2 linked regions of the Oryzias latipes genome follow. The protein of the gene in region 1 interacts with the protein of each later gene in a pairwise test. Links are inferred from orthologs where the notes say so. Each region holds a gene or a part of one and is shown on either strand. Other genes may lie near its edges.

The links.
Region 2: the proteins of MAGUK p55 subfamily member 2 (region 1) and lin7a interact in binary tests that used the Homo sapiens proteins (3 or more experiments, as listed by UniProt). The two-hybrid records come from large-scale screens. The link is inferred for Oryzias latipes from reciprocal best matches to the Homo sapiens genes MPP2 and LIN7A.

What each region holds. Positions count from the first base shown.
Region 1 is NC_019877.2:4,338,452-4,341,896, forward strand, and holds the end of MAGUK p55 subfamily member 2, read right to left. Parts: intron 2,986-3,445; coding exon 2,809-2,985; 3' UTR 662-2,808; downstream 1-661. UniProt on the Homo sapiens protein: Postsynaptic MAGUK scaffold protein that links CADM1 cell adhesion molecules to core components of the postsynaptic density. In CA1 pyramidal neurons, required for synaptic KCNN2-containing channel function and long-term potentiation expression.
Region 2 is NC_019881.2:19,161,074-19,164,897, reverse strand, and holds part of lin7a (protein lin-7 homolog A), read right to left. Parts: intron 1,502-3,824; coding exon 1,292-1,501; intron 1,089-1,291; coding exon 877-1,088; coding exon of another isoform or gene 873-876; intron 1-872. UniProt on the Homo sapiens protein: Plays a role in establishing and maintaining the asymmetric distribution of channels and receptors at the plasma membrane of polarized cells.

The sequences.
Region 1 (3,445 bases):
CTTAAGGTCTCCAAGTAAGTCCAACTGGGGCCATTCTTTCAAGCTGGGAAACTTCCAATTTAACTACATTGAAAAAATGTCAGCTAAAAAATGTCAAAGAAAACGTAACTGTAGAGGTGTAAGTGTTTAAAAGTGTTTGAAAAAAATCAAATGTATAGGTTTCAAGGCAAAAAACACAGAGCGTTCTATTTCATGAAAGCAAATTCAAAATAAATCTGGTAAATTTTCTGAAAAATTCAAAGATTACAAATGATTAAACAACAAAAAAAAAGAAGAAAATTCCTTTCACAGCACAGTCTTTGCTTCAGTGGTTTGTAATGCATTATTTAAAAAATTCTTACCCTTTTACCCAAATTTGATAAAAATAACTTCAAAATGTTTTCTTCCACTAGTATGACCCTAAGCTGACAGACATTTGGAGAAGAAGCCCACCTCCTCCCTATGACACGTGTCCTGTGATGCAGCCTAATGGATGGAGGACGCCCAGAGAGCCTCCTCCCCTGACTCCGCCCTCAGCGCCCGTCAGTCACAATCACCACTGGAACACCTAGAGGTCACGCAAATCAGTGTTTGGATGAACCCAACAAAGTTATTGCGTACCGTTTCCTTGTGCCTTCTCAAAAAAATGTCAGCGCAGTGAAGAAATAAATAAAAGTAAAAAGATATTCTGAAAAATTTTAATGTTTTCAAATGGAGGTCAAAACTACAGAGTTGTCGTCCAAATGCATCGACGCGCCAGCAGAAGCATCGAAGCACCAACGGGTTTCCTCATGTTTTACTAAACACTCTTTCTTACGGTACAGTACTTACGGTTGGAAAGGAAGCTTCAATAATTACTGAATGAGTTGCCAGAGTTTTTGAAGGTACATCGAAGGAGGTGAAATGTTCTATTCGGAGAGTTTCCTTGGCTTCTGAAACGTGTTAAGGCAAAAGTAAGCAGAAGTTACAAGCCACCAGAAGTGTTTTAGTACATCAGAGTAACTAAACAAACAATCGGAATGTTGGAATGGATTCGTTTCCCTCACCTTTTTTCTGTTGGAGCTCTGAAACGTCTTAAGCTATGTTCACACCGGTCTTTGCGACGCACGTTCAAGCAAGCACTTTCAATGAAACGTGTATGTTAATCCATGTCTATATTAGGGGTGTAAAGACTATTCGATGAATTGATTTCTATTCTTATGCTCTAACAAGATCGATCTGTTTGAGGCAAGTTTTAATCGAATCGGCCTAAACCATTAATACGAAAAATAAATGAATAAAAAATAAAAATCGCTTCAAAATGAGCTAAAACGATAACTGAAAATGCCATTTGGATTGGGATATGATTGGTTTATTTTACTATAGTGCATCTCAGCGGACAACACATGTGATGACAGGAACAAAAATGATTTGTCCACCATTACAGTCCAACATGTGTGTGGAAACACTTTGAATTTAGTAAAGATATGTACAGAGTAGTAGAATGTTTTAATATTTTCCCTTGGGATGAATTTGATGTGGAAAAACAAAAACTTTATGAAAATAAAATGTGAATGGATTTGTTGATGGTTCTTGTTTACTTGTTTGTACACATATTTCATTTGCACTTGATTCTCTTGCAAGAAATACAAAGGAATCTGCTAAACTTCGCCTGCGCTGTTCAGTACCACTTATTTGTCTCGGAGTCACACTGGTTGAATTTATGGCTAAAATGTCCTGGATGGATTTTAGGTCAGAGAATCGGATCGTTCAAAAGGAACCAAAATGGGCTATAAATTGCATTAGCAACCACAAATTATGATATGAATCAAATTTTTGGTCAAATTAATCGTTACACGTACATGTCTATGTACATGTTTCGGACTTCAAGACTCATGTTCATGCCTCACTACCCACGTTTTAAAGAGTCTACGTACAAAACACGCAGCCATTGAACGCGTGTTGAAAGTTAAACCATTTGAACTTTGACCAATCAGGGACTCAGACTTGGTAGTGACATGTAGATGGCGTTGCTTTTGATTCACAGGAGTGCCAATCAATTTGATTATGGAGGAGAAATTAATGATTGCAGTTTGTCTTTCAAAGTCTTTCGCATCAGAATAGAACTGTGAAAGAGATTTGCCCTGCATCGACATTTCAACCAAACCTCTTCCTACTGTGCGCTGGTATCGAGTAGCGACAGTCCAGAGTGAACACCGTATGCTAAACGCGCGTCACACGCCGGGTGTGAACGTAGCATTGTTGCTACGAATGATCCAAACAAAAACATGAATCTTTTGCAAAGACAGAAACGCTCATTTGCAACAAACTGATTTGTCAGAAATGTGCCGACAGGCGGCTCTTCTTTGTGTTTCCGTATATGTATTGCATGTATCTTCAGTTCTCTATTGCTGGTCAGCTTTCAAATCAGCAGTGACACACGATTAAGCACATGTCCAAACGCACAAAATCATACAACAGCTTTAAAAAATACAATGCCACATTTGGTGTCTTCTCACACTCAGCCCTACTGATCAGATGTAAACGTCACACTATAAAGGCTAAAGATGACCTCCCAGAAACCTGCAAAACCTACTGACGATCACACTCTCACTATTGCACCACACCTGATAATCCACGGAATAATTCAGTTTCTGTAAAATTAAATACAACTTGACATTAGGTCAACAGATGAAGTTTGTACAAAAAAGCTCTACATGAGGCTGGTCGTTTGCACAGGATTGCGATGCTCGGCTCCCCCACAGATTGCAGCGAGGAGACTCCCCCCCTCCCCAGGAACAAATCGTCCTCTCATCTGATTCACTTTGCTGGTGAGCTCTTTGGGGGCTTTCAGAACACCCAGCTGACCGGGACCCACTGATGCTCCATCGTCAGCTTCTCCAGTGCCGACCGCAGACCGCGAAACGCCGTTTCCAGACCGTCGTTCACAATGCAAAGGTCGAAGTAATGTCCGTAAGCTCTCTTAATGCGCTCGCTCTCGTCCACTGTCCTCTTTAGCTCAGAGTCCTGTAAGGAGTAGTTGGAAGAAAAACATTTAAAAAAAGGCAAATATTCATTCATTCATTTTCTATTCCGTTTTCTCCCTTTCGGGGTCACGGGGCTCCTGGAGCCTATCCCGGCCACTTGTGGGCGAAGGCAGGGTATGCCCTGGAAAGGTCGCCATTCTGTCGCAGGGTAGAGTGTCCACAATCACACACCCATTCACTCTCACACCTATGGACAATTTAGAGTTGCCAATTAACCTATGAAGCATGTTTTTGGACGGTGGGAGGAAGCCGGAGTTCCCGGAGAAAACCCACGCATACACGGGGAGAACATGCAAACTCCACACAGAAAAGTCCCCCATTGATGTTCTGGTTCATGTCCCCCAGCCGGGACTTGAACTGGGGATTGATTTTAAGATTCTTTTAATAGTTTTTTAGACTGTCCATGGCCTTGGTCCTTCTTTTATATCAGACTTGCTTTT
Region 2 (3,824 bases), on another chromosome or scaffold:
TTTTGGTTTTCTTGGCTGCCAAAGCAGATCCCGGCGGTCGGAATGCTGGCTTTGATAAAACCATATCCCAGCTCAGCTCCCACCCCTTTTACAAGCTCCAAAATACCTTCCCAAGCTGCATGCTGCCAAGTACAAGGCAACAGATATGCTTGGGGGATTTTAGCTTCAAAGCAACGAATACACAGAGATCTTGGACAAACGGCGGAATCAAATATGTCCGGGAAACAGTTGAACAATTCAAAACGTCTGCACAGCATTTGGTACCAGACCGTGTGACTTTGCTTAATGGTTGCACGATTTTGTCGGCTCTACTACTGAAGCCTGTCAGGGTTTTTTATTTTTTGGGGTTGCATACCCCCAAGTTCGGCTTACTTTTGACTGACAGTGCGGAGCTTCATTATAAATTTGCACTGCATCCAGCTTCAGCTGGCAAACGGCAACATTCGTGGCTGTGCCTGCTTATCCATGCACCTGCAGAGCTGGAGCCACAGATGTAATCAGTTTCAGCTTGAATAATTCACAAGCCTTACAACGGAATCACTGGGAGAACAAACGGGGAGTAGAAGTGTTTTCTCACAAAGGACTTTGGCTGCTCCAGAAAACACCAGCGATGTTTCAGGCTGCGCTTTGGAGGTGTAAAGTATTTGTATTTAAGAAAGAGCTTGTATTTAAATCAGAACATGGTGGGAGCATTTTATAAGGAACTACAGAACCTGCAGGTCCTTCCATTTTCAATATTTATGTGTTAAGAAATGTTAAGTACATGGAATATACAGAACATTGATGGTGTATACTATATTTACACAAATGTACTCATGTTTATTTCTGCCCCCCATCCCTCCCACCACCCGTAAGACAATGAAGCGCCTCACCTACGACATGTGATTCTGCTGTGAGCTCAGGTTCTGTTGCTGCTGCTGCTGCATCAGGAGCTGCTGCTGCTGACGCCGCCGCGCCGTGCGGAGCTTCTCAAAGCGAGCCTCCATCTCCTCCAGCACCTTGGGGGTGTATCGAACCACCAGCTTCACGGTGTCTTTGGCCGCTTTCAGCAGCTCCACCGCCTTTTCGTGATGTTCTCCTTCGACACTCTGCAGGGGCCACAGAGGTGAAGAAAAGTGGGAATTCTTATGAAACTTTCAGCGTTGAGAAACCCCTCAAGGGGCGGAACAACATTTTGACAAGAAGTCAAGTTTTCCAAATGTCTTTTAAACCAAAGAACGTGCAGTTCCTTATTTTTAGGTTTATTGCCCTTTCCTAAAAGGGTTTAAACAACCGATAAGGTCAAACTTACCACCCCATTGACAGACAAAAGCTGATCGCCACGCTTCAGGCCACCATGCCTTTCAGCTACGCCCCCTGGGATAATGCGTGAGATGTAAATCGGGGAGTTTTGCTCCTTGCCACCCATTACGTTAAAGCCCAGCCCTTCCTCCGTCTTGGGTAGCTCCACCACCCGAGGATGAGAGTGACCTTCGCTTGCTGCGAAGGCTGCGACTGTGGCCTGAATGCAGAGGAACAGAGGGTAAGAGACGGCTGGAAACCAACAGTTGTGAGGTTAAAGCAGTAAATATACTCAAGTTTTCTAAACTTTGTTGGTCTAAGGTCAGTTTCTCACAGGGGTTTAGTGTTTTTAGTTTTCTTTTCTTGGATCGTATCAAATGATTTGCTTTTTGGCAGTTAAGCCCTCATAGAGTCTCTTTAGTTATCAATACTCTCACTTATGGCCTTTTCATCATCAATCCCATCAATCCCAAGGACATAAAACAGCAAAAGGAAAAAAAAGGGGTTTCAAAAGTTACAGGGGTTATCATCACTAACACATGCAAATATTTACCAAACGGCTGATCCTTTTTTTGTTTTTTTTTGCTCAAGTACGCACGCACGGATGCACGCACGCACATACACACACCGTAACATCTGCACAAACACAAAAAAGCTCTCATGTTACTATTGACCGCACACATTTTTATACACGTCTATGGAAACCCACACATATACACAAACTAATGCACATTTTGCTAGGGTGAGAAGGAACCTGAGAAGGCATCTGCGTTTAGGTAATTGTGTGTTCACTAAAATGTATGTTCATTGTGGAATTTTACTCTTTAGAATCTCCTCATCTCATTCAATGCAATCAGACTAAAAGCAATAGAAGACCTTTATCCAGCAGCATTACACAGTGACAGTGAATCAGAGTTTGCAGCATCTCATTTTAGCAAAGTGAAGAGATGTAGTTGCTATGTGAGGACTCCGATTCTTTCTGAGCATATGGATTATCACATCCAAGTTCACTGCAGAGGAGCAGCCTGTCGCCTCATGAATTTCCACCAGCTGTGGGGTTTCTTTGAAGCAATAGCCCTCTGCTGTCAGAACAAAGCCCCCATGAGCGTGTTAACTGTGCTTAGGAAGGCTAATGACTGAGGAACAAGAGGAGGAAACACTGTTCTCACTGACAAATCCACAGGTGCCTTTCATCATTCTGTACCATGCAGATGGCACGCTTTAACATTTTCTGTTCTTCTTTTCCAAGTATATATCTGTGTATATATACCAATGCATCCCTCCATTTTTTTCTGTCTGCACCCTCTGCCCTTGCTGCTTTGCTTTTGCCATTTCTGTCCCGCTGTGAAGGCAGCTCAACAGCACGCATGCCACCGCCTCCCGGGCCTCTCCACCTTCACAACTTTATCTGTGCTTCAGCAAACAAAAACGAAAATTAGGCAGATGGTAGGCGCCTCTCAGACACAGGAGGGCTTATAAATGGTGGCTTTGCTGCAGGATAATTGGTAGATATGACACTGTACCTACAAGCCTGGCTTATCAAAGCCTGTTTATTATCAGCTGGTATTTGAGAGCTGATGGAAATGTGTGGATAAGACATTTTCATGTTTAGAAACCTGACTGAGCAATTCTTAACCCCCTAATGAATAAAAACCAAGTTAATAGAAAATGAGAATATACATGTATATAAATATTCGTCAAAACAATATAAAGGCATTTACATGTAGAGTATCTACTACAGCTTGTTTAACCCTTTAACACTACTGTAACTCTTCAACGCAGTAGGGGCATCCAGTTTCAATGTTTTTTTCAATGCACAGCCCCTATGAGAGGCCTTTCGGTACACTTTTAGCGCCGGGCGTAGAGCTATTCTCTAGCGGTTGCGTATTTCTGGGAGTGCAGCAACACGACATGCCGAAAATTTGGATTTTTCTAGAGTTGAAATATTTAAACTTTGTCAATAAATTCAAACCACGTCAACCAATCACGAACTTGGCTTTGGGCAGTTTCATGTTAATGATGTAAATATTGGGTGGAGTCCAAACCCAACATGGAGGAGAATCTGATTGTTGATGGGTTTTTTTTCTTCCTGAACTTTAATATTTTTCTTATTTCTCCTGATACAATGAAAAGGTCACTCAAATTTTTTTTCTTTCCTTGGACTAATGTGGGAAAACAAGTCGTTAAACTGGGTCACAGAGAGACAGAAGTACCGCTGAAAGTCACTGTATTTCAGACACCGCTCCAGCAGTAGATGGTGAAAGTCACTGAACTGGAGAATTTTCAATGACCATTTGAACCAAGACACAAAGACGCTTTTGTAGAGCTCTTCAAAATAAATAAACCTGATCTCTCGACTTCATCTGTATCCTCAATTTAGCAGTGAGGTTAAATACTTTTGACGGTAGCTCCTCCCACACATGCCGGGAGAGGCACACTAATGAACATACTTTTGGACAAGCGTCCAGCAGCGAAGTTACGCGCATCGAAACAGAGGCGGCAGACACAAATTGGCTGCGCAGGTCACATTTAGTGTGAACACA